7 linked regions of the Macaca fascicularis genome follow. The protein of the gene in region 4 interacts with the protein of the main gene of each other region in a pairwise test. Links are inferred from orthologs where the notes say so. Each region holds a gene or a part of one and is shown on either strand. Other genes may lie near its edges.

Region 1 (4,286 bases), on a different chromosome or scaffold from region 4:
AACACAGTGAAACCTCGTCTCTACTAAAAAATACCAAAAATTAGCTGGGAGTAGTGGCAGGCGCCTGTAATTCCAGCTACTCAGGAGGTTGACAGGAGAATCGCTTGAACCTGGGAGGCAGAGGTTGCAGTGAGCTGAGATAGTGCCATTACACTCCAGCCTGGGAAACAAAAGCGAAACTAAAAAAAAAAAAAAAAAATCACCAGGCCTCAGACTCCTGGAAGACAGACCCCAGCTCCAACCTCCCAGTGGGATCTCATTTAACTCTTGACACTGACCTTCCAATTAGGATGATACACCTTCCTTTTAAAATATATTTATTGAAATACAAAGAGTCAATGTAAGGAAAAATAGAGGTCACCATACTTGGCCACAGTTAGACCGCTCATAGGCCCATGGCTGCTGTCTCTACTGGCAGAGGGAGTCCAGCTTCTACTGGTACCTCTGGGCAGGTTCACCTTCACAGGGCAAGCCAGGGACCATCCCCGCTATGTGAAACCTGGAGGTTTTCCAGAGCTAGCTGTCTAGCCATTAGCCCCACAGGCTGGTGCCCAGAGCCACTTCCACAGGAGCAGCCCCGGGCTTCACCCACACACGAGGGGCTTCCGAGGCAGGAGGCAAGCAAGGCAAAGGGAGAGTTCAGGGTCCCACAATAGCAGTGAGCAGGGTCCAGCCATCAGGCCTCAGAGCCTCTGTCATGCCACCTGCGAGACGGACTTCTCCTGTCCCCACTGTGTCCCCGCTTCCTCCTCTTACAACAGGGGGAGTTGGAATAGGAGTCGTGGTGGTGCCTGGGCCTGGGGAGACCAAGGGCAGTCACTCAGAAGGAGTCAACCAGGCTCCCACCCACAAGAGGCAGACATAGACCAGGGCATACCTCTCGGGAGATGTGGGAGAGGAGGCAGCCTCAGCTGGCTGCCTGTGCTCTTTGTCTTTCTTCTTCTTCTCTTTCTTGTGTTTCTTCTTTTTCTTTTTCTTCTTCTCCTTCTTGCTTTTCCTGTGGCTCTCAGAGCTACAAGGAGGATACAAGGCGCACCTCAGACCCTAGTCTTGCAGGCCAAGAGAGTGAACACAGACCCCAACCAGGAGATGAAGCCACCACCCACAAGTGCGTCTTTAAATCAGTTAAATCAGACTACCAATTCCACTCCTCAGTAATGCAGTCACGTGGCCAGTGGCTGCCCTGGGTTAGAAACTGATGCGATATCCCTATCTCCACAGCACGGCCCTGTTACACCCCAGCTGTGCCCTTGACAGGTTGACACCTTCCTACTTGCACCCACCAGGCCACTCTTGGGGTCAGGCCCAGGCTCACCACCCAAGAGAAGCCCTGGAGGTGCCACCCATGGAAGGAAAAGGCCCCGCCGCAGGTCCTGAGCGCCCTCCCACGGCGCAGCCCGCGACCACTGCCAGTACTTAGGACCTCTCTTCAAGGGTGACCCGAGAAACTCCCCTAGAGAAAAACCTAGGAGTAAGTGGGACAGGAAGTAAAGTAGGGCAGGCCACCGGCCGGGCCGGTGCGCCAAGAGAAGCTGCCACCTGCCGGAGCGGGAGCCGCTGAGGTCCTCCCGAGACCCCCTCCGGCGCGCAGCTCGCCCAGTAGGTGCAGCCTCACCTGCTTTCCGTCTGATCCTCCGCCCGCGGCTTCCTCCTGGCCGAGGTTGCCGAGGTCCCGGGCCCGCCGCTCTCTACGCGGTGATGCTGCGGGAGAATCGCGCTCTGGGGAAGAGTCTGAGGGCCGGCCCCACACCACGCCCCGCAGTGCCCCGGGGAGCTACGTTCAGTGCCCCCGCCCTGCGCCACCCCTGTTGGCCCCTGTTGCGGTCAGGCGGGGCGGGGAATTACCGTGAACACAGACAGCCCCAGTTTGGCGGCTTCCTTGTCCTCTCGGGACATCGCCACGCGGCCCACGGAGCCACTGCAGGAACACGGCGATGAAGACAGTCCGTCAAGGGCCCGCCTCACCCGAGCAATTCTGCCCTCCCCTGGAAACCTGCTCGCACCTGGCGCTCCCCAGCCCCAGCAGCCGGTCCACGCCCTTCTCCTCGGGGTCGCCTCCTTCCCGCTTGCAGACCTCCGCGAAATCCTGCAGGTGCGGGAGCACAGGCAGCGTTCCGGACGGCCCCACACCCACGGCCCTCCACGTGCCCCCCACTCCAGGGAGTTACCTCCTTGCTCAGGCCCGTGGGCTGCTTCTTCACGTTCTTGTAGCCACTGCGAGAGGACCAGAGCAGGCGTCAGGACGGACAGACCTCCTCCCACCACGGGTCCTCACCACTCCAGCCTTCATCCTGAGGGTCCCACCCGCGCAAGTCCCCGCAGCCCCGCCCCCGCCCAGCCCGACCCCCAGCCCCCGCCCCTGGCCCCACCCTGCCCCGGCAGCGAAGTCCCAAGCACCGACCGCTGATGTCCGCGGACACTCACAGGGCGGCCAGCAGCGCCTCCCGCTCCGCCTCCCGCACTGCTGCCAGTTCCTCCTCGCGGCTCGGGCCCGCGCACGGCGCCCGGCCCTTGGCGTACCAGGTGAGGTCGCGGCCCTTCTGCCAGCGGCCTACGGGCGCCATCAGCGAGTTGCCTGCGGACGTAGGCGCCGTGAGCCCAGCGCCCCCCGGGAGGCCGCCCGCCGCGCCCACCGCGCCCACCGCGCCCACGGACCCAGGTAGTTCTCCCGCTGCTTGTCAGTCTTCACGTCCTCCCAGTTGAACTGGTCCTGCCCGCCGCGCACGCCTCCGCGACTGGAACCGAACATGGCGCCCGGGAGGCAGTTGCCTGGGGCCTGCGGCCTGCGACCCGCAACCCCGGACCCTCTGTACCCACTACCGTAGGACCCAGGCCCGACCCCGCCTTCGCGTCGCGCGCCGTGACGTCACCCGGCGCCCACCCGGCTTCGCCCCGCGCGCCTGCGCAGCGCACCGCCCCGGCTCTGTGCTCCCGCGCGTCACCTTCAAGCAGGCTTTGGGCGCCTGCGCACTGCGCCTATCCTGCCCAGCGCGGGAACGCCTCTGAACTGTACGTTTAAAAATGGTTAAAACCGGCCTGGGCGCTGTGGCTCCCGCAGCACTTTGGGAGGCCCAGGCAGGCGGATCGCTTGAGGTCGGGAATTCCAGACTAGCCTAGCCAACATGGTGAAACCCCGTCTCTACTAAAATACAAAAATTAGCCGGGTGTGGTGGTGCACACTTGTAATCCCAGCTACCCAGGAGGCTGAGGCAGGAGAATTACTTGAACCGGGAGGCGGGGTTGCAGTGAGCCGAGATCGCGCCACTGCACTCCAGCCTGGGCGACAGAGCGAGACTCTGTCTCAAAAAAAAAAAAAAAAAAAAAAGTTAAAATGGGCCAGGCGCGCGCTTGCTTGCGCGCCTGTAGTCCAACGCTTTGAGGCTGAGGCGGGAGGATCTCTTGAGCCCAGGAGATCGCGCCACTGCGCTCCAACCTGAGCGAGTGAACGAGACCCTGTCTCATAAAAAAAGAAAACACACAGGATGCGCCTAGCTAACACCGCCAATTGGTCACTGCCAGCCGCGATTCCATATGGGGAGCTTAACAAGGTAATGCCCTAATGATTTGTGGAATTTCTGAGTATTACCCAGTAAACTTCTGGATGAACCAGCAGCTACCCAGACACCCTCAGAGCACTGGTCCCATCCTTGCTGTGGTAAACTGAATGTGCACCCTAACTCCCACGTGAAATCCCCAACCCAAGGCGTTGGTGCTTCGGAGGTGACTAGGTCATGACGACAGAGCCTTCATAAAAGAGACCCGAGAGCTTTGTGCAGCTTTCCACTGTGCGAAGGCAGCGGGAAGTCTGTAGTCTGGAAGAGACCCCTTCCCAGAACCTCAGCATGATGGGCACCCTGATTTTGGAGGTTGTGGCATCCCCCTGCTTCACCTTTCCACTTTCATTCCCAGTGGTGACCAAGAAACAGAGTCCCTTAGCCGCTCTGTGACCTCGCCAACGGTATAATTTCGTCTGCAGACTTGAACCTGAGCCATAGCCATGAACGTTCCCAGGCACAGATGACAGCATCTAGGTTGTTGCTCAAAACACAGAAAGAAACTGGACCCAGCCTGAGCCAGATTCCTTAAACCCTCATATAAACTCCATTCGACAACCCCCTCCCCATGGACATACCTAGAGAGAACATTCATTTCTCTCACCACCCGTTGCAAGAACTGCTGCAGCCCACTCTGTACAAAAGCCCTGCTAATAAATGCTCTGGGCGCATTACCCTGGCATGCTCAATCTTTCTGTAGAATCCTAACCAGCCCCATCTCAGCATGGTGTG
Region 2 (3,430 bases), on a different chromosome or scaffold from region 4:
CAGCGAGGACTCTAGACATGTTAAGACAATTTTTAAATGTGCTTTTGGCTTCGAGTGGCAATAATTAGACTCAACATATTTAAGAAGCTACTGATGAGAAGAAACCCTGGAAGCGCTGAAGGACCACATCAGCCCAGACCAAGGATGCTGAAGCAGCATCAAGGCCCTTGGTTTCAGAGGCTCCACCAATGACCCTTTTTTCATGGAGAGCCTGTAGGAGCGAGTTTTGTCTTTGCCCAGTGGGAATCTGTCTTCTATACTTGGAAAACAGGGTTACCCATGTTGCCCCTGCTACCCTTGGGTCATCTCAGAGACACTACCAGATATTACCTATGAGACCTAGTTGTTTTTTTTTTTAAATCTCAGGAAGGACTTGGGTGTGGCTTCCAACGTGGAGGACTCAGTAGCTTCAGAGAGGGTCCTGGGAGAAGGTGAATCGGAGAATAAGGGTGCTGGGCAGAGGGAAAAAGACATTATCATACAAGTTTGTGCTAAAAGATATAGCAATCCTTCTGCTATGGACTAAGTATGGAAAAAAATAAAATGGAATCAAAGTGACCCAAAGGAAATGTAAAACCCAAATTTATGCCCACTAAAGCATTAATGATGCTCTAAGTCCGCTGCCTACTTAAAAGGTTCATAGTTCACATGGGTTGACAGGAAATTACGTTAAGGACACGCTGCATTTCTCCTTTTCTTACAACCCCTCTGATTTGGTAGGGAGGGAGTCAATCATTTTTTATTGGAATTTCTCAGGATTCCAACCTCAGACATACACTTTACACATTTTCTTGGACAAGCCCGACTGTTCCTCTCACTCGTTCGCATAAAGCTCAAGTTTACACAGCCGCCCAGACCTTTCTCTGGGACGCTCATATTTAACTTAATTCTGGATATATCAGGTAAGCGTTTCCCAAGAAACTTGACCCCAACATCCCAAAAACTTAAGTTATCATCTTTCTCCTAAACTGGCCCCTTCTCCAGTACGCATCCATCGCACTCTTCTCCTGCCCTAGATCCCCTCAGCCCAAACGGGAAACCCCGGGATCGCTCTCTCCGCAGGTGAAGCTTAGCCAGGGACCCTCCCCGTCGGGGCTCCGCGCTGCCCCGCCCGCCCCCAGCCGCTGGCCAAGGCCGCAGTCGCGCAGGCGCAGTGCCGCGTCCCGCCGCCGCCCCGCCCTGCCCGCCGCTGCGGAAGGCGCCGCGCACAGCAACGCGCACTTCCTCTCCAGGAATCCGCGGAGGGAGCGCAGGCTTGAAGAGCTCCTGGACGCAGAGGCCCTGCCCTTGCCAGACGGCGCAGATATGTCAGAACAAAGTAAGGATCTAAGCGACCCTAACTTTGCAGCCGAGGCCCCCAGCTCCGAGGTGCACAGCAGCCCTGGGGTTCCGGAGGGGGTTCCTCCGTCCGAGACCCTGGCAGAGCCGCAGAGCCCTCCTTTAGGCCCGACGGCCGCCCCGCAGGCCGCGCAGCCTCCCCAGGCCCCGAGCGACGAGGACGACCCGAAGGCCCTGCAGCAGGCCGCGGAGGAGGGCCGCGCCCACCAGGCCCCGAGCGCGGCCCAGCCCGGCCCGGCCCCGCCAGCCCCGGCGCAGCTGGTGCAGAAGGCGCACGAGCTCATGTGGTACGTGCTGGTCAAGGACCAGAAGAAGATGATCATCTGGTTTCCAGACATGGTGAAAGATGTCATCGGCAGCTACAAGAAGTGGTGCAGGAGCATCCTCCGGCGCACCAGCCTCATCCTCGCCCGGGTGTTCGGGCTGCACCTGAGGCTAACCAGCCTGCACACCATGGAGTTTGCGCTGGTCAAAGCGCTGGAGCCCGAGGAGCTGGACAGGGTGGCGCTGAGCAACCGCATGCCCATGACAGGTCTCCTCCTCATGATCCTGAGCCTCATCTACGTGAAGGGCCGCGGCGCCAGAGAGAGCGCGGTCTGGAACGTGCTCCGCATCCTGGGGCTGCGGCCCTGGAAGAAGCACTCCACCTTCGGGGACGTGCGGAAGCTCATCACTGAGGAGTTCGTCCAGCAGAATTACCTGAAGTACCAGCGCGTCCCGTACGTGGAGCCGCCCGAGTACGAGTTCTTCTGGGGCTCCCGGGCCAGCCGCGAAATCACCAAGCTGCAAATCATGGAGTTCCTGGCCAGGGTCTTTAAGAAAGACCCCCAGGCCTGGCCCTCCCGATACAGAGAGGCTCTAGAGGAGGCCAGAGCTCTGCGGGAGGCTAATCCCGCTGCCCACTGCCCTCGCAGCAGTGTCTCCGAGGACTAGCCAAGTCTGGAGGCAGATGAATGCTTTCTGATCCTCACCAGGGCTGTGGAAGGGTGGGGGTGGGTCATTAGAGTGTTCAGGATTTACAGTGCAGTATTCACGTGTAACTTTTACGTTTCCAGTACAGTGCTTTTATACCTTTAATGCAATGTTGTATTCATTTGGGTACTATTGTGTAGTATTTAGGATGTATGCATGTTTGTTTATATGTAAGCTTGGTTGGTGCTTTCGCTTTTGTGGTACCTTTCTTGGATTTTTGTATCAGAGACGTGCTAAACTGATGAAGTACATTGAGAACGTTTCCATCTTATTAATTTACATGGGACTGAGATGTGTGTTGGGGTAGACTGCTCCTGCAGAGTTTGGAAAAACTCACCAGCAAAGCCGGCCTAACCAAGAAATGTCAAGGCCCTCATGACCTTGCTGGGGACTGAAAACATCCTCGTGGCGTAAACTAATTTGAACTGGACTGGTCTCAATGTGAGAGCACTTGGCACACTTTACTAAACACATATACAACCCCACCGTGAGTCAACTTTAAAGTAAACATTAAAGATTCTTGTGATACAATCATTTCTGGAAGTGTACGTTATCATTTTAACAAAGCAGTATGGTTGGGAATGAGACAATTCTCTGTTTTACAGTATACACAGATATAACTGTTTCCCCTAATGGGGTGGGAAAAATCGCTACTCATGATTACTCCTAAATTTGTGAAGTTTGTGGTTTTGTCTTTAACTCATGTTTATTTCAAAAACATGCACAAATATAGAAAAGCATAAAAAACAAAACAGTAAGATTGTCCATAATCACATCCTATGGGAATAAAAACCAAAAATAATTTCCTTAAGTTTCTACATTTTATCAAAATTAATAGATGCTTTGTGGGCACTTAAAGAGTGAGACATTGTACATGAGCCCTGACGTGTATTTTTCTCCTTTTATCTAATCCTCACAACAGGCCTGTCAGGCAGGCAAGAACTGCCTCTGCACCATGGAGGAAACACAGGAATAATGTAGGTAATGGACTTTCCATAGCTCATACAGGTTAATAAGAGAAGGCGCTAGGACTAGAACTCACAATGAATCCAGAGTCCACATTTGTCCCCACCTGCCTTCAACTCCCCTACACCCTGTGGTTTTTAGGTTATTTATTTTC
Region 3 (4,039 bases), on a different chromosome or scaffold from region 4:
TAACGTCTGGGAATCTGCTTCAAAATAACTAGTGGGGGAATAGTGGACTGGGGTATAGATGTTATATGTTCATTCAAGATCTGATCATTGTTCAAACTGGGTGGCACGTATATAGATGTCATTATATTGTTTCCCCCTACTTTGACAATGTTTAAAAATTTCCAAAAAGTATGTAAAGAAATCTGAGGTGATTCTAATGTGCAAACAGGATTGAGAACCACTGAGCTAGTCCACTGAAAAAGGCAGGCATTCAAGCAAAGTAGGCCCCCCTACCACTGTTTCTATCAGTTACTTTTATGACAGGATTTTCAGTTTAGAATTTGAAAGCTACAAACTATTAATATGCCTAGCCTTGGAGGAAAGCCCTTCCACTTATGACATGACATTTCTGTAGTAGGAATGAATGCGGCTGACGAGCAGAAAGATTATTTACTCCAAGTTACTCAGCAAAACTACCAAGAAAAGAGGCAAAACAACAATTAGAACTACAGTTTGATGTTTAAGTAAAATGTTGAGGTTAGAAGTAAAGAGGGTAGATTGAGAACTATAAAATATTAGATTTAAATGAGACCTTAGGAATTATCTGAACTAATTTTCAGACAATCTGAAAATTATATGAATAATTTTCTTAATTCACAAATGCCAAGACTGATGTGAGAGATAAGAATAATACAAAATAGGCCCCAGTTCAGACAGAGCAACCTGGCTTTTAATCAGGACACCAATTACTGCAGTCACAGTTCAACAAATACACTGTATTTAAATCCTGAGTCATCAGCGTAGGAAAAGGGTAAAAATATAATGAGGCAGATCATCTTTCGAAAGCTTTGAATACGTAAATTCAGATGGCTTGTAGATAGCCCAAATAAGAATGGAGAATAAACACCAATAAGTGCTCCTTTTAATCACTCTCACTTCTCACTTCTCTGTGATTATGGTTTGTTTTTTTTTTTTTTTTTCTTTTGAGAGTCTCACTCTGTGGCCCAGGCTGGAGTGCAGTGACTGGATCTCCACTCACTGCAGCCACCACCTCCCAGGTTCAAGCGATTCTCCTGCCTCAGCCTCCCGAGTAGCTGGGACTACAGGCATGCACCACCACGCCCAGCTAATTTTTTTGTATTTTTAGTAGAGACGGGGTTTCACCATGTTGGTCAGGCTGGTCTCGAACTCCTGACCTCAAATGATCCAACGGCCTCGGCCTCCCAAAGTGCTGGGATTACAGGCGTGATCCACCGCGCCCGGCTGTGACGATGTTATCAATTGAGATCCAAGGAAATAAATCATGGAATCCAAATTCCACGTGCTACCAATATGACAAATAATACTCTATTCACTCTCTAAAGCCCCAGTTCCCTGGGAAGTGACGAAATGATAGGAAACATCAAACACACCCCAATCTCCTCAAGCCCTCCATTTTTCTATCTCATCCAGTCAGTCTACCTGGAGAAACTACATGTATTTCATGCTGACAGCTCTAAAAGCGATTAGAAACATTAGAATGGTAATCGCTGCTATCAGCTCCATCTGTCCTTTCTTACAGAGTGAAAAAACAAGTTGGCTCTTCCTGAAAGTCCTTGGAATTGAGAGCAAGGTCTTCAAGGCAGCTATGGATTGTCGCTTTTTAGCCACGCAACATTTTGAAGTACTACTGGAGAGTAAACAAGTCGTGGAATCATTGGCTCTTCCACCTGCGGAGCAGCAGCGGGGCGTGAAAGAGGCACAGCCTCAGCCACCACAACTATAAAGTATGGGACAAAAATTAAGCAGTCAACCAAATGATGTCCTTAATTGATCCCCAAGACTAGGGGAAATTATTCAATAAGCAAGTAGTTGCTGCTTACAGCCGTGCCAAAAGGGAAGAAGATCACAAGTGCAGAGCTGCTAGGAGGGCAAAAATGATACTGATACATAGAAATTTTCAGAAAAAGAATTTCATGTAGCCACCTCAGGGCAAAGGTGAGAAACTACCACCTATGGTCAGCAACTCGTGCAACCTACCCTCTGAAGTTGTCCACCAGGGCTAACAAACTACAAATTCAGCAACGCTATAGAGGAGAGCCACTCGTGCATGTTAGGAAGAACCAAGGATCGGGGATGTCTATTGTCCCCATCCTAAAAATGTGGCCAACAGATTAGTCAGAACACCAGGAAAACAAGAACTCCGCCTCTTTATCCTATTTTGAGGCGGCACTGCAAGAGGGATTACCATCCAACACCTCTGTCCCCGAAAAATCCTTTTAATTCAAAAAACCATAGCCCGGTTCCGCGCGGCAGAAAAGAACCAAGAAAGGGAAGAGGAGCCCGGAAATCAACCCGCTGCAGTACTGCCACCAACTGCGGGCGTGGGACGCTTACCTTGGAGTCGGGGAGGCTGAACACGCTGGGGTCGTCCGTACTGCCCACCATGATCTTGTGCTCCTTCCCCGGGGCATGACCGCCTGCGCCCTCGGAGCGTGCAGCCTTGGCACCGTGGCGCTCCCCGGACACCCGGTCGCTGGTGGTGTTTCCCATGGCTGCAGCTCGTCGGGGACCACCTACCGCGGAGAACCACACCGGGCTGGGAACACCTCAGTAGCCGCGTCAGGGGCGCCCCCCGGCCCCGCCCATACGCCTTGGGACAGGGCAAGAGATTTCCCCGCCCCAGGGAAGCCAAGCCCCGGAGCCTTCTCCCTCCTGGCCTGCGGGAATGCCTGCAAATACCCCGGTGCCCTCGCTGCCCCTAGTCAGGAAACCCGCTATCGGGACTCCCCCGCGTCCCCGCGCTCACTGCCAGGGGCGCCCCCACGCCAGTCACCTCGGGCGATGCGCTCCCTCCTCCAGGGACCACTGAAGTGATGACTGTTCTGCAGATCAGGCCACCAATAAAGTTATTGAAATTGAAGCCGCACCCCTCGCTGGCGATCAGCGATTCCTCCTAAAATGGCTACAAGGCCGGCGGCGCGGAGTCGGCCCCGTGCGCGTTCCCTGCGGCCTGCAGCCTCGGCGTCCCGGGCCCGCCGGCCTCTCTAGCCGCCGCCGCCTCGATGGTGGGCAGTCGCACGCAGCCTCCAGCGCCAGGAGGGGGCGCCAGGCAGGGCTTGTGCCGCCTGGGGAGACTGCACCCGGGATCATTGGAGCGCTGGGCCTCTGAGACTACCCGGCGGAAGGGACGTTCCAACAGGACACTCGGAGGCCGCCTCCCTGGGCTCCGGCGCTCGGTGCCGGGAGAAGCGACGCGGCTTTCCACCCCGCCTTAGGTGCGCCAGCACGTTTTCTGGGCAGCATCTGTGTGTTAGGCGACGGGAGAGGGGGGTTCCTTACAGGGAATAAGAAAACCGAAACTGACTTCCAACTGCAGGCAGAAGGAAGCAATGGCCATTGCTGGAGGTTAAAACTGTTCTGGCCGGGCGCGGTGGCTCACGCCTGTAATCCCGACACTTTGGGAGGCCTAGGCGAGCGGATCACGAGATCAGGAGATCAAGACCATCCTGGCCAACAAGTTGAAACCTGGTCTCTACTAAAAATACAAAAATTAGCTGGGCGTGGTGGCGCGCGCCGGAAGTCTCAGCTAGTGGGGAGGATGAGGCAGGAGAATCGCTTGAACCCGGGAGGTGGAGGTTGCAGTGAGCCGAGATCGCGCCACTGCACTCCAGCCTGTCGACCGAGCGACACTCCGTCCCTCCGCCTCCCCGCCCCCCCCCCCCACAAGAAAAACCTGCTCAATAGGGAGCGACAAGGAAGGAGCTGTCAGCCCGACTGGGGTCGCAGGGAAAATTCAAGATGGCGTATTTAGGAGCTAGACCTTGACAAATTAGTAAAATGTTAGTCTTAGGAGAATAACGAAAAGGCTTTCCTAGTCTAAGAAACAGCATACGCAGTGAGAAACCTCAGAAGAAATAAAATTCAAGGAAGATGGCGACAACGAAAACATCAGAAGGAACCCTAAAGGTATAAAAAAGGCAAAGACAGTCGTAGGGTTGGGAGGGATCCAGGTTTTTTATGAAAATTAGTGGAATCCCTAAGGTACTTACCTTTGTATTAGAAGTATTTGCATGTCGCC
Region 4 (4,254 bases):
GTGTTCTCTCTGGAGCTCAGGGGAGGGGAAGGGCTAAGCCATTACTAGGGTGCTGTTGGGGGCGGTAAAAAGACCACATCCTTTCCAAGGGACACTTTTCCTGGAAAGTCCCTGGAGCTTAGTTGGCTCTCACCCTGTGAAGCCGGCTCTGGCCACTAGGGGGCAGGGCCATTAACTCAGTCTAGAGGGAGCCTGCGGGGTGGCCAGCATTCTGGGGAGGGACAGACAGAACAGGCCACCAGGCTCAGGCAGGCGAGGGAGGCAGGAGGGCAGAACAGAAGACACCTTGGGTGCTGGCACCCTGCCTTCCCGGCCACCGCTAGATCAGGCTTCTGAGCCTGTTGGCCGTCAGGGCCGAACTGTCCCCATAGGTACCATGGTAGTCCCTGTGTAATCCCCTAGATGTCACCAGGCAGCATACCGGTAACAGGCCTGGAAGGTCCCAACAGCCCACATGCGCAGGCTCAGACACTCTGGGGCTCCCCGTTCAGTGGCACAAACTCCAGAACCCAGTGAGAAACAGGAACACGCCAGGCGGAGCAGTATGGCTAAATCCATTTATTCCGAAATAAAAAGCAAAATAAACAGGAGTTGCATCACCAGGGTGCCACGACCCCATCCCCGCCTCCTTCCTCTGTCCTATGCTATCAATAAATAAGTTTCCCAGCCCCAAATAATTATTAGAACCTCCTCCCCATGTGCCAGCTCCAACCTCTGCTAGGTATGATACAGGGGGCTGCCCTACCCCTGGAATATACAAAATGTTACACAGATACAATATGTACACTGGGGAAGCGGGGCCACCCCAGCAGCCCGTGCCCTCACCTGGTCTACAGTTAACCCCACTGTCCTGCCTCAGCTGCCTCTCTGTGTAAGAAGATGGGAGCCCCCCTGAGGGAAAAATTGCTTTGGTGAGAGTAAGGAGGCCATCAGGCCTCCTCCAAACAAGTCAATTCTATGAGCCTCTGGCTATTAAATAACAATCATCATCATCCAGAAATTTAAGGAATCAGCCCTGGCCAAGGTGGCAAAGGCTCTACACATTTGTCTCCCCCCATTAGACAGGGGTCTTATTTGCTACTGTAAGAGTAAAGGGGTGACTGGGAAGGGGTGGCAGGGACATGATGGGGGCGGAGCCTCCGGCCCCACTTCTCCAGGCTTTGCTGACAGTGGCCTGCTTTTTAAAATTTTTATCCTGACTTTTTTTTTAATCCCGTGTTTTTTGTTTTTTTTTTTTTGAGACAGAGTCTCATTCTGTCGCCCAGGCTGGAGCGCAATGGCGCCATCTCAGCTCACTGCAACCTCCGCCTCCCGGGTTCAAGTGACTCTCCTGCCTCAGCCTCCTGAGTAGCTGGGATTACAGGCACACGCCACCATGCCTGGCTAATTTTTGTATTTTTAGTAGAAACACGGTTTCACCATGTTGACCAGGCTGGTCCTGAACTCCTGACCTCCTGAACTCCCAAAGTGCTGGGATTACAGGTGTGAGCCACTACGCCCGGCCTTTTTTCATAACTTCTATACCATAACTTACCCATAACCTTCTTTATCCCATAACTTCTTTTAATCCCATAACTTTAATTTTTTTTTTAAGTTTAGTGGCCAGCTTTTAGATGACAGTGATCTTCACCTCATCTGCACCTGTCTACCCCCGTTAGACAGGGGTCTATGCTTGCTACTGGAAGGGTAAAGGGGTCACTGAGGGGGTGGTAGGGATATAGTGGGGGCAGGGTCTCCAGCCCCCCTTCTTCAGGCTTTGCTGACAGCGGCCGGCTTTTAGATGACAGTGATCTTCACCTCATCGTTCTCGTCAGCCCGGTAAAAAAAAGGAATGCAGGGGTTGCTGCCCAAGCCTGGGCGCTCCCGGGGGTTCTGCATCTCACGAAGCAGCTGCATGATCTGCTGTGCAGTGGGGTTGTCACGGGGAGAGCCCTCCCTGGCCTCTCCTTGGGCGGCCTCCGCGCTGCCGGTGAGGCTCACCTCGCAAAGATCTTTGGAGAGAGAGAGGCAGGGCTCTGAGCGCCACGCAAGCCCTCCCTTGCTCCTGCCTGCCCACCCCTCCCGAGGGCTCTACTCACCACCCTGCTGGTCGGCAGCCCCAAGCTCCTGGGGGGCTGGGGCCCCTGGAGCGGGCTCATGGGCAGGGTTCTGGGCAGCTGCCAGGAATCTGCCATGCCACTCGCTGCGGTCGCCCACAAGCCGTAAGACCAGCTCCTGCAACTCCAGCAGCTTCACCTGGAGGGAGGGGTGCTAAGCTGCCATGCCTGTGCCCGTGCCCACCTCCACCCCCACAGAGATGTTCCACGCCCTACCTTCATCTCCTCCTTGTCTTGGGCCAGCCTGCTGATATACTCCTCCTTCTCCCGGTGCCGCTCCTTCAGCACTGCCCTCTGACTCTGGTACAGTGCGATGTACTCTCCTGCGGAAGGACAGGGCTCAGATACTGGGTTCCCTCTGACCACTGTGCAGCTCCTCCTGCCGTGCCCTGGCCTCCCACTCACCAATGGTGTCTGTCTCTCCAGACAGCTGGATACAGCGATGTTCCAGTTCCTCTACCCTCTCCTTCAGGTCCGCCTTCTCCTGCATGAGCTCCATAAAGCGGCTCTGGAACCAAAACAATGGAGTCACATCTTGGCAGCGACCAGCCCCGCCCCCACCCTTCTTGACCCATGCCAGGAGAGACTCATTCACCTGCAGCTTCTCCATGGCCCCCTGCAGGGCCCGGTGGGTTTCCCCACACACAGAATCGCCCCCAGTCCCTGGGGCCGGGGCTGCCACCTCAGGCTCCTTCTGGGCCAAGGCCAGCAGGTGAGCCAGGCGCCGGCAGCGCACCCTTTGCTCCTTCAGCTGCCCACGTAGCCTTGCCTGCTCCTCCTCGGCACTGGCTACAGCTGAGTTGAAAAATGCCACCTGCAGGAAAGAGAGGTGCGTTCTTGTAGGAGGATATATAGGACGAACAGGCAGGGAGGTAGAGAGCAGCCCTTCCCTTGGGGCCTCAGAGGCTGCACTTGTTGGTCCCAGGTGAAATGGGCGTCTGACCACTGGCTCCCAGGAAAGCGGTGAGTCTGAATAAATCAGAAGGCCGGGAAACCAAGAGCAGAAGGGGGTCTGGGAGGGACCACAGAGGGAGACAGCAAAGGCCAGGGAGGGGAGTCAGCCTTACCATGGCTTCCCGGCTCTCCAGGTCCTCCGGGATGCTTGGCATGGGCCGAGGCGCCGCCTCCACCTCCTCCTCCTCTTCTTCCTCCTCCTCCCTGTCCAGTCCATCTCCTGTGGGGGTGGCCAGAGGGGTCATCAGACAACCCAACAAGGGTACAGTGTGCCCACCTCTGCCCCCACCCTCACTGTGTAACCCTGGGCCAGCCCCTCCCCAGAAGGGAATGAGCAGCTTTTTATTTTATTCTTTTTTAAGAGCCAAGAGCTCGCTATGCTGCCCAGGTGCAGTCCCACTACCGATCAGCATGGGAGTTCTGACCTGCTTCATTTCTGACCTGGGCCAGTTCACCCATCCTTAGGCAACCTGCTAGTCCCCTGCTCCCAGGAAGTCACCATAATGATGCCGAACTTAGTGTGGACACCCAGTTGGCATAATGACCAGCTGTTCTAAAGGTCTCTTCCAACTCAATTCCACACTGCTAACAGTCCCCCCTTCCTCCTGGGGCTCTCTCCTCTTCCTGTGAGCAGGTTCCCGTACCTTCCCCAGGATGAGCCATGAGGCTCAATTGGGACCGTAGCTGCTGGTTCTGCTGGGTGACAGATTCCAGGCGCTCCTAAGGGGCCAAGAAAGAGAGTGAGACGGCATGGAGGTTGCCAGGTCATCCCCCTCGGGGCCCTGCCCTCAGCAACTCCCTCACCTGGGCTTCCTGCAACTCTTGGCGGGCCATCTCGGCTACCGCTTTGCCCTGAGCTTCCTGCTGCTGCAGCTGGTCCACGAGCTGGGTCTGCAGCAGTAACTGGTTGTGCAGCACCTCCTTCTCAGAGGTTAGCTGCTGATAGGTGGCCACCTGCTGCTGATAGGCGGCCACATACTGCTGCAGGTGTCCCAGGTACTGGTCTCGCTGCTGCTGTAGACTCTGAGCCTCTTGGCTCTTCAGCTCCACCTGTAGGAAGACCCTAGGCGTGAGGGCAGGTGGTGTACTGCTTTCAGATTTGGGGCCCATAAATAGGGTAGCGAGGGCTCTGTGAGGCTCTGTTGCCTGCCCAGACCTCTGGCCCCTTGCTCCAGGCCTAAGTGACTGCCTCCCTTGCCTAGAG
Region 5 (4,340 bases), on a different chromosome or scaffold from region 4:
ATACGGTGCAGGGATAAGTTGCAATGAAAAAGCTGATGAAATCTCGATCTGCTGAGGACTTAATATTATCCATGCTACATGCATACTTTTTGTGGGTGTAAGCTATACTTCTGAACCATAATCAGAAATTACCTATAAATATATGAAATAAAAGGGACGAATCAGGAAATATTCCCGGTAATGACCGACCCCTCCATTAGCACTAATACTACCTTAACCATATTGGTTAACTGATGGAACTAAGAAAAGGAAACATATTTAAGTGAATATATGCTGGGCCCAATGTTAAGTGCGGTATTTTAATTAATTCATACTTACCAACCTGAAAAGAAAATGAGGTTGAGGGAAAATGACAGCTTGCTCCAGGTTAAAAAACTAGGTAAAGGTAAACCTGGGATATGATTCCAGAGCCCATGTTCCCATGAATGCCATACCAATCCTTCCCTGAGCAATTTGCTTTTAAAGGGTAAGTCCACAGTTACCACTTATGCAAGGCAGATGAAACGCTGGCTCCAGACACGACCTGGTATTTAATAACAAGTAGTAGTCTAAAAACAGTAGTAGAGTCTATAACACTCACCCGTCTTCTTTTATCCATTGTCTCATAGTAAATATTGACAAACTCCTCAGCAGCTCTACATGCCTGATCTACATAAGTTTTAAAATCCTACAAGAAAAATTCCGGAAGTATAGATTACCAACCGTTTCAACCCCTCACAAACACAAAACCACTGACAGAAGCTGATGATTTATTTCAACCACCATGTAGTTCTATATATAGTCCACATTCTTTCATATAAATTCAGACATTTTAAAGGCTGGACTCTAAAGTTTGCAATTTTAAAATTTTTCACTAACTTTAAGTGCATGTCTTTAGGACATAATCTTCTCAATGAATCTGAGTCTTTTTCAGTCTCTACATATAAATTTATAATCTTTTCTTGGCAACTAAGTACTTTAGACTTTCAATATTTTACAAACATTCACGGCAATGAAAATGACACCACCTGACCCTTAGAAAAGGAGAGCGAGCGGCGAAAACTGCCACTGAATAAGCTAGGCAAGTGTTTTCTCTTTTCCAAGTGAGATGTTAGGGCCAAACTCCAAAGTTGTTGAACGGAACACACACACACACACACACACACACACACACCCCAAAGTAGTTCAACTACTTGAAAAACTGGCAGCTCCACTTAGGAAACTTTCCCACATTACGTGAACTTTCACTGCTGTTTGCATAAGAACCGTGAAACCGAAGAAAGCAACGCTGTTGGCGTTCGTGCCGGAGAATTAAGGAATACCTTCCTTCTCATTCATTTACGGGGCCCAGTCTATTACAGAATTAAGAACAATGAATCGCCAGTTTGTCAGGTAACTGAAAGTGATTTTTAGAGAGGAAGATAATCGAGAAAAAGAGACTGCAAGCCATAAACAACAAACCCCAAACCCCCGCCTCTCGCTATTTCGCAGCTCAGGGTCCTTTCCGGGACCAGAAAGCGACAGCAAAACAGGCGGGGTTGGGGCCGGCAAGGCGGGCAGCAAAACGTGGGCCCCGCCCCGCAGTACAGAGAGCCGGGCCGTGATTCGTCACCTATCCACGTGAGCAGCAACCAGACCGCCCCGGAGTCCCTCCAATCAGCCACTGGAGTCCGGCGCCCAGCAGACCTGCCACAGCCCAAGCACTCACCACAGACATGGCCATCGGGGAGCCTGCAGCAGCGTGTTCCGGCAGTGGCGGCGTCACTACCTCCTCACGTGTCCGGCCCCCACAGCTGCGGAATGATCAATACTTATGAAGAGAGCGAAACCCGCCAAACGCACAGAATTTTCCACCCTCCCATTCTCTCCCGGAAGTAGCTCGGTCCGTCGTTAAAAGCACACCGATGTTCCAACCTTAAGTTCCACCGCCCTTCAGTTCCTGCAGATCCCTCCCATCCGCCTTATCTACTTGTTTGATACTTACTTAGTTTAAAATTTAAAAACCACTTCGCTTTTGTAAACATGATACTCAAAAGGAAAGTCCCTTAGTTTTCTACCGACAAGCCTGGGGACAAGCAAAAATGAAAGTGTTCAATTACAGGGACTTTTTTTGCCCCAGGAGGCGGAGCCAAAGTCCTCTGGAGACCAATTCGAAATGCGAGACCTCCTATTCCGTAGCCTATAGGATAAATGGGCGGAGCTTGGGGAAAGGCGTGCATGAATAGTGAACAATTTAGCATTCTGGAACATTCTGGAAGGATCACCCTCACTGAATTACTATGTTTTGGCAGTATGCCTAAAATTACTGTTTCATTTTAACCTAGCCATATTCAACAGGAAAAGTTCATCTAGTTTCCCCATTCTGGCATTTTACAATGTCTTGCAGACACCAACAAAAATTAAGTTCACAGTGCCATTCACCACCTTTTAAGGGCTATTTATTCTGCAAAGTATTCTAACAATAACTAAAATGTGAAGCGCTGACTGTATGTAAGGTGCTTTTCTAATCAGTTTTACATATATCCACTTATTATAACAATGCTGAGGTAATTGCTATTATTTTATAATCTTCATTTTACAGCTAAGATGGAGTGAATCTGCCTACGGTAACAGACTAGTTGAGATTCAAACTCAAGCAATATAACTATCACGGCAATCTGGCTTTGCTCCCCAACACCCCTTAAAAACCTCTCATCCCAAAGCCGCCAACGACTTCTGATTTAAATGGCAAATTAATTAGATGTTGTAGTTTTACCTTGAGTGGCTGGTGTGTGGTCCCTCATAATAGTGACTTCTTCTTTGGTGTCTTTCTCTGTCTCCCTGAGACCAGTGGCTTCTGCACTTTCTCATACTTTTAACCTTTCTCTTTATCTGGCTCTTTTCCTTTTAAGGTAGTGCTAACGGAAGCTGCTTCTCGGCCACTCTGCTTCCGTTTTCCGCTAACCTAACCTCTGACTGGCGTCACTTCCGGTGCATCCCCCCTTTTAAAGCCTCCCTTCTTCAGGGTGATGTAAATTGCTACCCGTATGCTAATGAATCTTAACAACCTATCCCAAGCCCGCACCGCTTATCTGAGGTCCAGTTACACATATGAATTTTGCTAAACATGAACACGAGTGCACTATAGGCTTCTTAAACTTGTACGTGCAAAATTTAAACTCATTATTTCCTCTGCACTTCCAAACTTTTGTATTCTCCCAGTCGCCTATCTTGAATTCTCGGAATCTTTATTTTTTTGGTTCCCTCTCCTCCTTATCATGATTCATTCAATAAATATTTATCAAGTAGTCACTGTGTGCCAAGGATTGTGCAAGGCTCTGTATATATAGTGGAGAATAAAATGGACATGTTTCGTATTCTTATGAGGCTCAAAGTGTAATGAGAGTGCTAGACAATAAACATAACATCAATGAGTTACAAAGAAATACTGAGTAACTTGCTTAGTTCTGACCATTCCCTATAGCAATCCTTCTACCCTTCTCCCTCTTCCCTTTTTTTTTTATTTCTTTTTTTTTTTTTTTTTTTTTTGAGACGGAGTCTGGCTCTGTGGCTCAGGCTGGAGTGCCGTGGCATGAAGTTGGCTCACTGCCAACCTCCGCCGCCTGGGTTCGAGCAATTCTCTTGCCTCAGCCTCCCGAGTAGAGTAGCTGGGACTACAGGCACGAGCCACCAGGTCCGGCTAACTCTTTTCCTTTTTCTCCCTCTCTCTTTTTGGCTCTCTCCCTCCCTTTCTCCCCCACACTTCTCTCACTTTTCCCGTCTCGTTCTCTCCTCCCTCTCTCCCCCCGAACTTCTCTCCCTTTCCCCTTCTCATTCCCCCTCTCATTCTCTCCTCCCACACAAACTTTGATAACTCTATTGCCTATTTTCTTCCAAACTCATAATCTTTAAATACCTACCTTGGTCTGATCTGAATTTATTTTCCCAGGCTATTCTCCCAAATTCACCAACACTGGCAAAGTTAACTACTACTGGTTGCCAAGAATGACTGATGTTTACTGCTTTATTGGTGATTGTTTTTCTTGATTGAGAGATTGTGTTTTATATGATTTCATTCAATCCTCAAGACCCCCAGAAAGGCAGACATTATTATCTAGATTTTTTAAAATTTAAACTTAAGTTTAAAGAAGTTAAGTAAATTGGTTAAGATGATACAGCTAGTGGGCCTGGGATTTCCCCCCCAAACTTTCAAATCCCAAAGTCTGCTTTTAGACACTTGGCTATTCATGCATTTACTTATATATTCTTCTTTTGGAAGGTTCCCTCCATTTCTACCTGTCCTTCAGGGACCAATGTAGCAGGACGAGCCGCAGACAAAACTCCTCAGACACCGGATTAAAGAAGGAAGAGGTTTTTTTATT
Region 6 (3,586 bases), on a different chromosome or scaffold from region 4:
ATACACACACACTAAGCACAGCGTGGTGAATAAGGTGCTAGGAGATGAGTTCTAGGCTTCCTTCTGTTCACGCCTTGAATTTTGGACCCTGCCTTCCTGTTTTTATTCTAGTTCTTTAGTTCTGTTTTAAATCTTGGAACACATGATATCCTTCAGCCCAAATATTAGTCCCTCCCGACATTAGAATTATAAAGGGCGTCCACTGAAATTTAAATCACATTTTATGTTTTAGCTATTTAACTTTAGAAGTAGGCACAGGTGACTGTACTTTCAGCTGCTGTTAGATTTTCAGTGTTTGGGTTTATGCCATTTTGGACCGATGGGAAATTGTCATATAAGATTGAAAACTGTAATAGTAAAATGGACTACTTCACATTTTGGGGGACAAGTATTTTCTCATTTGGTTAATTATGGTTTGAAGTCATGTGAAATTAACTTAAGGATATCAAGAAAATGCTGACAATATAAATAGTGATACCGTATATAGTTATAATTTATATTCTCTCCATAAGCACAATTAAAAATACATGAACTCAGAAAAGGTACAAGTATTTGAAACTACAATTAAACATCTATTTCAAAGATGCACAAAAAGTACAAACGTGACTTTTGATTGGGTTAAGACTGCAGGAACGTCCCTCTCTATTATTTCCACTTCGCGGGAACAATAGCTCAAGGGTAAAAAAAAACAGAGGAAGCTGGCGCGGGGGCTCATGCCTGTAATTCCAGCACTTTGTGAAGCCGAGGTGGAGGGATCGCTTGTGCCCTGGAGTACGAGACCTATACTCTGGGCAACACAGGGAGACCCTTCTCTACAAAAAATAAAAAATTAGCCAGGCGTGGTGGCGTGTACCTGTGGTCCCAGCTAGCAGGAGGCTAAAGTGGGAGGCTCGCTAGAGACTGGGAGGTCCAGGATGCAGTGAGCTGATCATGCCACTGCACTCCACCCTGGTCAACAGAACGAGATCCCTCCCTCTCCTCCCCCGCCCCCACAAAATAAGCTAGAGGATATGCATCAATCAAGAATTCCTACGGGTCCACGAAAACACACATCTTTTTCTACTCCCTCTGTATAGGAATGAAAGGAAAAATTATGAGAAAACAAAATTCTCACCCGTTGCAAATATAATAGTATGCCCATGAGCAGCATATCATTCTCAAATCTGTAAAATGCTTACTCTATTTACAAAGCGTTTGTTGCATGATTCACTAGATTCTCAAAATAATTTTCCATGAAACACACTAATGGGTTATTAGCCTAATTTTACAAATAAGAAAAATGGTTCTTAGAGAGGTCAAGTGACTTACTCATGGTTAGATATTGGTAACCAAGTTTTCTGGTTTCTTATCAAATATTCTTTCTACTATGCCCCTTTGGTTTTCAAACAAATGAAGCAATTAAAGGTTAAGAGTAAAAACTTTATGACTCCAAAAAACTTCACTTGGTACTCTTTTGTGATTAAGAAGTGTACAGGACAGAATAGAAATGTACATTATAAAATATTTGACACTATGATCAAAATATCCCTTCCAGGAGAGTTTAATCAATAAGTTAAAAGTTAGGAAACTCAAAAGTCATTTTACTGTCTTAATTGATTATTCTATCTTCACTTGTACTGATGAGATTGTAAAATGCAATATGAAGGCTAAATATATCAAACATCTAACCAATATTCCTTGCACAGAAAAATCTTTTCTGCATTCTTTTCATATTGGAAATGAGGAAATTTGGAAATTTACTTGGACAAAAATGCTATTATTAAAAACATTCTATGTTTACCTATATTAATAATTTTGACAATAGTTCAAGGCAAATTGCATTTACTTTCTTTGAAAATGTCAATACATAAATAAATTTAGTTTTTCTTGTCTAAATATGAACAGTACACTGTAACAGCAAAACATTTGCTGCTGATAGGCCGGGCACAGCAGCACTTTGGAGGCTGAGGTGGGCGAATTGCTTGAGGCCAGGAGTTGGAGACCAGCCTGGGGAACATGGAAAAATCCCGTGTCTACTAAAAATACAAAAATTAGCCGGGCATGGTGGTGCACATCTGCAGTTCCAGCTACTCAGGAGGCTGAGGTAAGGTACTGACAATCACCTGAACCCAGGAAGCAGAGGTTGCAGGGAGCCAAGATTGCCCCACTGCACTCCAGCTTGGGTGACAAAACAAGATCCTGTCTCAAAAAAAAAAAAAAAAAAAAAAATCAACATTTCAAACATTTGGTGAGCGGTCCTCTGTTTTTAATTTTACAAATATTTGCTTAAAATAGTGTGCTTGGATCCTTTAGATATATTTGTAAAACATAATGCATTTTTAGAAGCAATAAATTAGAGAACAAAAATGAACATAAAACTTATTTTCTTGTGTTGAGGCAAAATTAAGGGAGGGCAAACATTTCCAGACAATGGGGAGAAAACCTGGTACCTTATACAAGGAACTGCTATTTACGTCCTAGTCGATACTTCTGAGATTGTTTATTCTGCAGGTGAACAGTACATATTTAAATGCATTTTGCTATTCAATATTAATTAACTCAAGAGAATGTAATTCCTAATAAAATCTTTTCAATTGATTATATATTCACAAAAATCCATTTGAACTGTCAAGAAAAATGAGTAATATTGACATAGCTGGACACTAAGGTCAGCATATGCTAACGAAGTGAGAATGGAGGTACTTTCAAGAAAAAGGTTGTCTGCTTTGCTTGACAATTTAGCAAAATACCCAGTCTAGTAGTGTAACAAGTAAGCATAGCGCTCTGAATCAAATACCTTACAAAATAGTATTGGTGTGGGTTTGTAACCTTTTTAAATGCTTTTATTGCATCATTCTGCTGTTAATGTTGGTATTTATCCTGAAATGACAGCCAATCTGTTCCTGTGAGTTCTTTGGCACGTTTGAAGTCAGCAGAAGCACTCTTTCCTGGGCTTTACTGCTTCCTCAGAAGAATGCACAGTATTTGGAACAAAACCACTTTTAACCCCTTCCCAGCCATCCTGAATACAAATTTCTCCCTTTTTAATAAGTTCATATATGTCTCTTGTCAAGATTGTGAAGGATTCTTCAACATTTGTAGCATCCTTTGCTGAGGTTTCTATATACTTCATTCCACAGTCTGCTGACAGTTTTTCAGCTTCTTCCCTTGTAACTTGACGTTGTGAAGCTAAATCACATTTATGTCCCACTAGCAGAAATACAATCCGAAACGGCTGTACATACATTTTTGCTTCTTCTAGCCAATCTTTCACATGTTCAAAAGATCGCCGGTTGGTAATGTCAAATACTAAAAATCCACCAACTGAGTTGCGGTAATAAGATCGGGTTATTGATCTGAAAAATAAACAGAAAAAAGGTTGTATAAGGACAACTTGTTCTTTTTCTTCTCCTTCCAACAATCTAGCACCATAATAACATTTGAAGATATCTTAATATGATTTAACTAGAATTTATAAATAAAATATGAGGTATCTCAAGTGAACAAAAATATTCTACAAGACTAATATGCAAGTTTCATACACTGACAGAACACGAAAGTAGCAGTTATTTTTAGATAGACAAATAAGCACTTACATGCTATGTCA
Region 7 (3,586 bases), on a different chromosome or scaffold from region 4:
CACGTATGAAACAACTGATTTTCCAGTCATCCTTCCCAAAAGAACTCTTCTCACAGTCTTTCCCAGTCTCAGTTAATGGTAACTCTATCTTTCCAATTTCTTGGACTAAAAACCTTGCCTCTGCTTTTGCTCATAATAATCCCAAATCCAATCACACTAGGAAAAGTCCTGTTAGTTACAACACCTTCAAAATACACCTAGTATCTGACCATTTCTCATTACCTCCACTATTTTCTCATTACCTCCAGTGCAACAGACACTCCAGAAGTCTATTCTGAGCCATCACCAGCTCTCATCTGGATTGCTACAACTGTCTTTTAACTGGTCTCCCTACTCAAAGCTCACTACAGCCTAGTCTCAAAGTAGTAACCAGTGCAATTCTTTAAAACTGTAAGCCAGATCAAGTCACTCCTCTGCTCAGAATCCTCCAATGGCTCCTCATCTCTCTCTCTTTTTGTCACATGTAAAGACCCACCATCCTCATCTCATTCCAAGTGAAAGCCAAAGTCCTTAGAAAGATTTATCTTCAACTAACTTGCCTTTCACTGGCTTTATTCTAGCCCACTTAACACTCCTGGACCACACCAACATATTCCTGGTGTGGGACCTTTGCACTGGTTGTTGCCTCTGAACAGAATGTTCTTCATCAGATATCCACATGGTTAATTCCCTTAGTGCTTTTAAGTCATTGCTCAAATTTCTCATTTTCAATTAGGTCTATCCTCACCATTCTATTTAAAATAGATCAGCCTTATGCTACCTTTTTCCTTCCATAGGATCTCATAATCATATTTATTTTACATTTTCTGTCACCACTATTGAGAATAAAAGCTCCAAAAGGGCAGAGATTTGTGGGGGTTTTTCACTGATACCTAGAAGAGTGTCACAGAGCCAGTACTCAATAAATATTTGTTCAATAAACATATTTAAATACGAATGACATCATTTCTAAAAATAATTTTTCAAAAAGTATTTGATTAAACTCATTAAAATAACTTACTGTTCTATCAATTTGACTCCTCAGAAAAACATGAATCTAAAAAAATCCTGTGAGTTCTCAGAAACAATATTTCCATATTTATCTTTATTTTAATGTGTTAAGCACAATGATACCACAGCATTAGCAGACTTTTTTTTTTTTCCAAGAGATTTAAAAGAAATATTCTTTTCCCTAAAACTACTGACAACCATTTATTCTGATATGGAGATTTTCATTCCGGTTTGATAAAGTAAATACATGATTAAAAACAGAAATGTAAAAGAACACATTAAGGAAAAAAAAAAAAAAAACAGACCCACTTCAACACTAACCTGCAACATAGCAACAGGAGGAGGGAAAACCTCTGCCTGGGTTGTGACCACTGTCTCCTTTTCAACTGGAGTTGGGCTCTGAGTTGTCTGGACCGTCTCTTTAACAGGTTCTGAGCTTTTCACAGTTTCCCACTCTAAACAAAATATTTGAAATTGATTTCCTTTGGATAGGTGCAACTTTTCATTTTCTTCTTTGTATTCATTTATTTCACATCTAAATTCTTCATCTACCTTGGCACATCTTTAAGATATACCCAAAACTGTAGGTGCCACTCTAGACTTCTGCCCAGAATAATCTGATTAGGATACTATGGAGTTCAAAAAACCATGACACTTGAGACACAAAGGAAAGACACTAAAATATTTCATCTAAAGAAAACACTTAGAAGGGATATAATAGACACGTATATCTCAATGGCTGGCTGATATAAGAGGAACTAACCATATTCAATTTTTTAATCACAAAATACAACAAAGGAAGACCAACTAGAAGAGTATTAATCCAATACAATGAAATCCTTCTGAAAACACAGCTATGCAAAAAGAGAACAAAGAAGCTCTAATGGTTCCTCTCTCATGCTTCTCCATCTCATTCAAAGTAAAGATCAAGATTTATATGACTTTGCCCCTCTGTGCCTATCTGCCTTGATCTCCTACTACTCCTTCCTCACTCACTCTGCACAAGCTATACTGGTCTCCTTATTTTTGAATACAAACATGGCACTTGCTGTTCCCTCCGTATAGAATGCTCTTTCCCCAGATGGCTGCATGCCTTACACTTCCAAATATCTCATCTCCATTAGATCTTCTACAAGCACATAAAAACTGCAACACCTCCACGCCCACATTGCCCATCTCCCTTCCCTGATTTTTTTTCTTTGAACTTACTGACACTAAAGTACTATATTATTTATCTATTTTGTTTATCTGTTTTCTTCACAGATAATGTGTGAAACATGCGCTAGTAAACTTTATAGCATTTGAGGCTTTATGGGCCATGTGTTCTCTGCTGCAAGTGTTGAACTGTTATTGCAAAAAAAAAAAAAAGTAATATAAAATAGGTAAACAAGTGAGCATGGCTGTGTTTCAATAAAACTTTACAGAACAGGCTACCAACAGGATTTGGACCATGGATAGTAGGTTGCTGACCTCTGCGCTACACTCTACAAGAGGAAGAATTTTTGTCTATTTATCTCACTGCTATAATTCCAGTTCCTAAAATTAGGCCTGATACACAGTACAAAGTAAAATATTTACTAAGTGAAGATACTGGAATAAGCAGCCATTGGCGCGGGTGGGGTGAAGAGTAGGCCTGACAGGAAGAATTTAATAGAAACAAAAATGGTTCAAAATTTTGCATTGGTCTGAGAAACAAATATTCGGAAAATTAGCTAATTCTGATAAACGAGCTAAGGTGTGAAGAAAAAAGGTGTGTATATACATTCCAGTTCTTTTTCAAATGTTTAGATTTCCTATTGGTTATAACTGCAAATCATTTTGTCAATTTTTAACTGAAATCTTTTAAAATAAAAAGACAATTTTTGGGGGAAAAAAAAAAAAGCAGGCTGGATGATCATTTGGTATTGTAAAAGGCATCCCAGAAAGTATTTAACATTGTATGAATCTGAACCTCCCTAAACTAAGATTCTATTCCTGCTATTTTCAACATGGATACTACTCAAAATAATCTGCAAAGTGTTTCAAAGAAACTTCCCAAGTTCCCACTTAAACTGAAGCAATCACAAATATTTAGTTTTAAAAATCCCTCCTACACACAACTCTCAAGTATAAAAATGGAAAAAAAAAAAACTCATACATTTAAAAATGCTACATTTATATAGACTTCCACACTTTCTAATCTATACTTTGACATCTATGAAATAGGTCCCATTAAGCATGTACACTAGGGCACAGGAATGTATCTTTTCTCTTTTTTGGGAGATGAATCCAGGATACACAGTTAATGCTATCACCCCAAATTCATTTCGGCTACAACCTTCTAACCATACTTTTTTTAACAATAAAAAGACCTTAAAATTCTTACCAGTATTTACAGTCTCCTGATCAATCATGCCTCCTTCTGCAAAACCTTCCAAGTCATCCACTTTAACTTTTTCCCATGGTATATATGTAACTCCAAGATCCACATCCCAGAATTGTTTGTATTCTGTTTTTACACCTTTGTTTAAAGCCCAAGCGATCTATTGTAAATGGGAAGAGGAAAAAAGAAAGCTTATATACACATACTATAAAAACAAGGTTAAAAGTTAGAAAT

The links.
Region 1: the proteins of GOLGA2 (region 4) and C1H1orf35 interact in binary tests that used the Homo sapiens proteins (3 or more experiments, as listed by UniProt). The two-hybrid records come from large-scale screens. The link is inferred for Macaca fascicularis from reciprocal best matches to the Homo sapiens genes GOLGA2 and C1orf35.
Region 2: the proteins of GOLGA2 (region 4) and NDN interact in a two-hybrid assay, tested with the Homo sapiens proteins (2 studies listed by BioGRID and IntAct). The link is inferred for Macaca fascicularis from reciprocal best matches to the Homo sapiens genes GOLGA2 and NDN.
Region 3: the proteins of GOLGA2 (region 4) and PRKAB2 interact in binary tests that used the Homo sapiens proteins (3 or more experiments, as listed by UniProt). The link is inferred for Macaca fascicularis from reciprocal best matches to the Homo sapiens genes GOLGA2 and PRKAB2.
Region 5: the proteins of GOLGA2 (region 4) and NXT2 interact in binary tests that used the Homo sapiens proteins (3 or more experiments, as listed by UniProt). The two-hybrid records come from large-scale screens. The link is inferred for Macaca fascicularis from reciprocal best matches to the Homo sapiens genes GOLGA2 and NXT2.
Region 6: the proteins of GOLGA2 (region 4) and RAB39A interact in binary tests that used the Homo sapiens proteins (3 or more experiments, as listed by UniProt). The two-hybrid records come from large-scale screens. The link is inferred for Macaca fascicularis from reciprocal best matches to the Homo sapiens genes GOLGA2 and RAB39A.
Region 7: the proteins of GOLGA2 (region 4) and SCAF8 interact in binary tests that used the Homo sapiens proteins (3 or more experiments, as listed by UniProt). The two-hybrid records come from large-scale screens. The link is inferred for Macaca fascicularis from reciprocal best matches to the Homo sapiens genes GOLGA2 and SCAF8.

What each region holds. Positions count from the first base shown.
Region 1 is NC_088375.1:86,009,728-86,014,013, forward strand, and holds C1H1orf35 (multiple myeloma tumor-associated protein 2), read right to left. Parts: upstream 2,849-4,286; 5' UTR 2,750-2,848; coding exon 2,656-2,749; intron 2,576-2,655; coding exon 2,425-2,575; intron 2,215-2,424; coding exon 2,169-2,214; exon of another isoform or gene 2,087-2,168; coding exon 2,004-2,086; intron 1,919-2,003; coding exon 1,846-1,918; intron 1,702-1,845; coding exon 1,616-1,701; exon of another isoform or gene 1,316-1,615; intron 1,013-1,315; coding exon 878-1,012; intron 798-877; coding exon 677-797; 3' UTR 301-676; downstream 1-300.
Region 2 is NC_088381.1:5,296,557-5,299,986, forward strand, and holds NDN (necdin), read left to right. Parts: upstream 1-1,217; 5' UTR 1,218-1,305; coding exon 1,306-2,271; 3' UTR 2,272-2,844; downstream 2,845-3,430. UniProt on the Homo sapiens protein: Growth suppressor that facilitates the entry of the cell into cell cycle arrest.
Region 3 is NC_088375.1:113,062,463-113,066,501, reverse strand, and holds the start of PRKAB2 (5'-AMP-activated protein kinase subunit beta-2), read right to left. Parts: upstream 2,841-4,039; 5' UTR 2,795-2,840; exon of another isoform or gene 2,535-2,794; 5' UTR 2,512-2,534; coding exon 2,356-2,511; intron 1-2,355. UniProt on the Homo sapiens protein: Non-catalytic subunit of AMP-activated protein kinase (AMPK), an energy sensor protein kinase that plays a key role in regulating cellular energy metabolism.
Region 4 is NC_088389.1:15,723,289-15,727,542, reverse strand, and holds the end of GOLGA2 (golgin subfamily A member 2), read right to left. Parts: intron 4,101-4,254; coding exon 3,855-4,100; intron 3,771-3,854; coding exon 3,695-3,770; intron 3,271-3,694; coding exon 3,164-3,270; intron 2,911-3,163; coding exon 2,692-2,910; intron 2,605-2,691; coding exon 2,502-2,604; intron 2,420-2,501; coding exon 2,313-2,419; intron 2,236-2,312; coding exon 2,079-2,235; intron 1,992-2,078; coding exon 1,777-1,991; 3' UTR 544-1,776; downstream 1-543. UniProt on the Homo sapiens protein: Peripheral membrane component of the cis-Golgi stack that acts as a membrane skeleton that maintains the structure of the Golgi apparatus, and as a vesicle thether that facilitates vesicle fusion to the Golgi membrane.
Region 5 is NC_088395.1:116,105,045-116,109,384, reverse strand, and holds the start of NXT2 (NTF2-related export protein 2), read right to left. Parts: upstream 2,853-4,340; 5' UTR 2,830-2,852; coding exon 2,735-2,829; intron 2,073-2,734; exon of another isoform or gene 1,964-2,072; intron 1,773-1,963; coding exon 1,688-1,772; exon of another isoform or gene 1,592-1,687; intron 1,510-1,591; exon of another isoform or gene 1,314-1,509; coding exon of another isoform or gene 1,302-1,313; intron 668-1,301; coding exon 581-667; intron 1-580. UniProt on the Homo sapiens protein: Regulator of protein export for NES-containing proteins. Also plays a role in mRNA nuclear export.
Region 6 is NC_088388.1:106,968,743-106,972,328, reverse strand, and holds part of RAB39A (ras-related protein Rab-39A), read right to left. Parts: intron 3,336-3,586; coding exon 2,909-3,335; 3' UTR 1-2,908. UniProt on the Homo sapiens protein: The small GTPases Rab are key regulators of intracellular membrane trafficking, from the formation of transport vesicles to their fusion with membranes.
Region 7 is NC_088378.1:63,117,876-63,121,461, reverse strand, and holds part of SCAF8 (SR-related and CTD-associated factor 8), read right to left. Parts: intron 3,513-3,586; coding exon 3,356-3,512; intron 1,446-3,355; coding exon 1,312-1,445; intron 1-1,311. UniProt on the Homo sapiens protein: Anti-terminator protein required to prevent early mRNA termination during transcription. Together with SCAF4, acts by suppressing the use of early, alternative poly(A) sites, thereby preventing the accumulation of non-functional truncated proteins.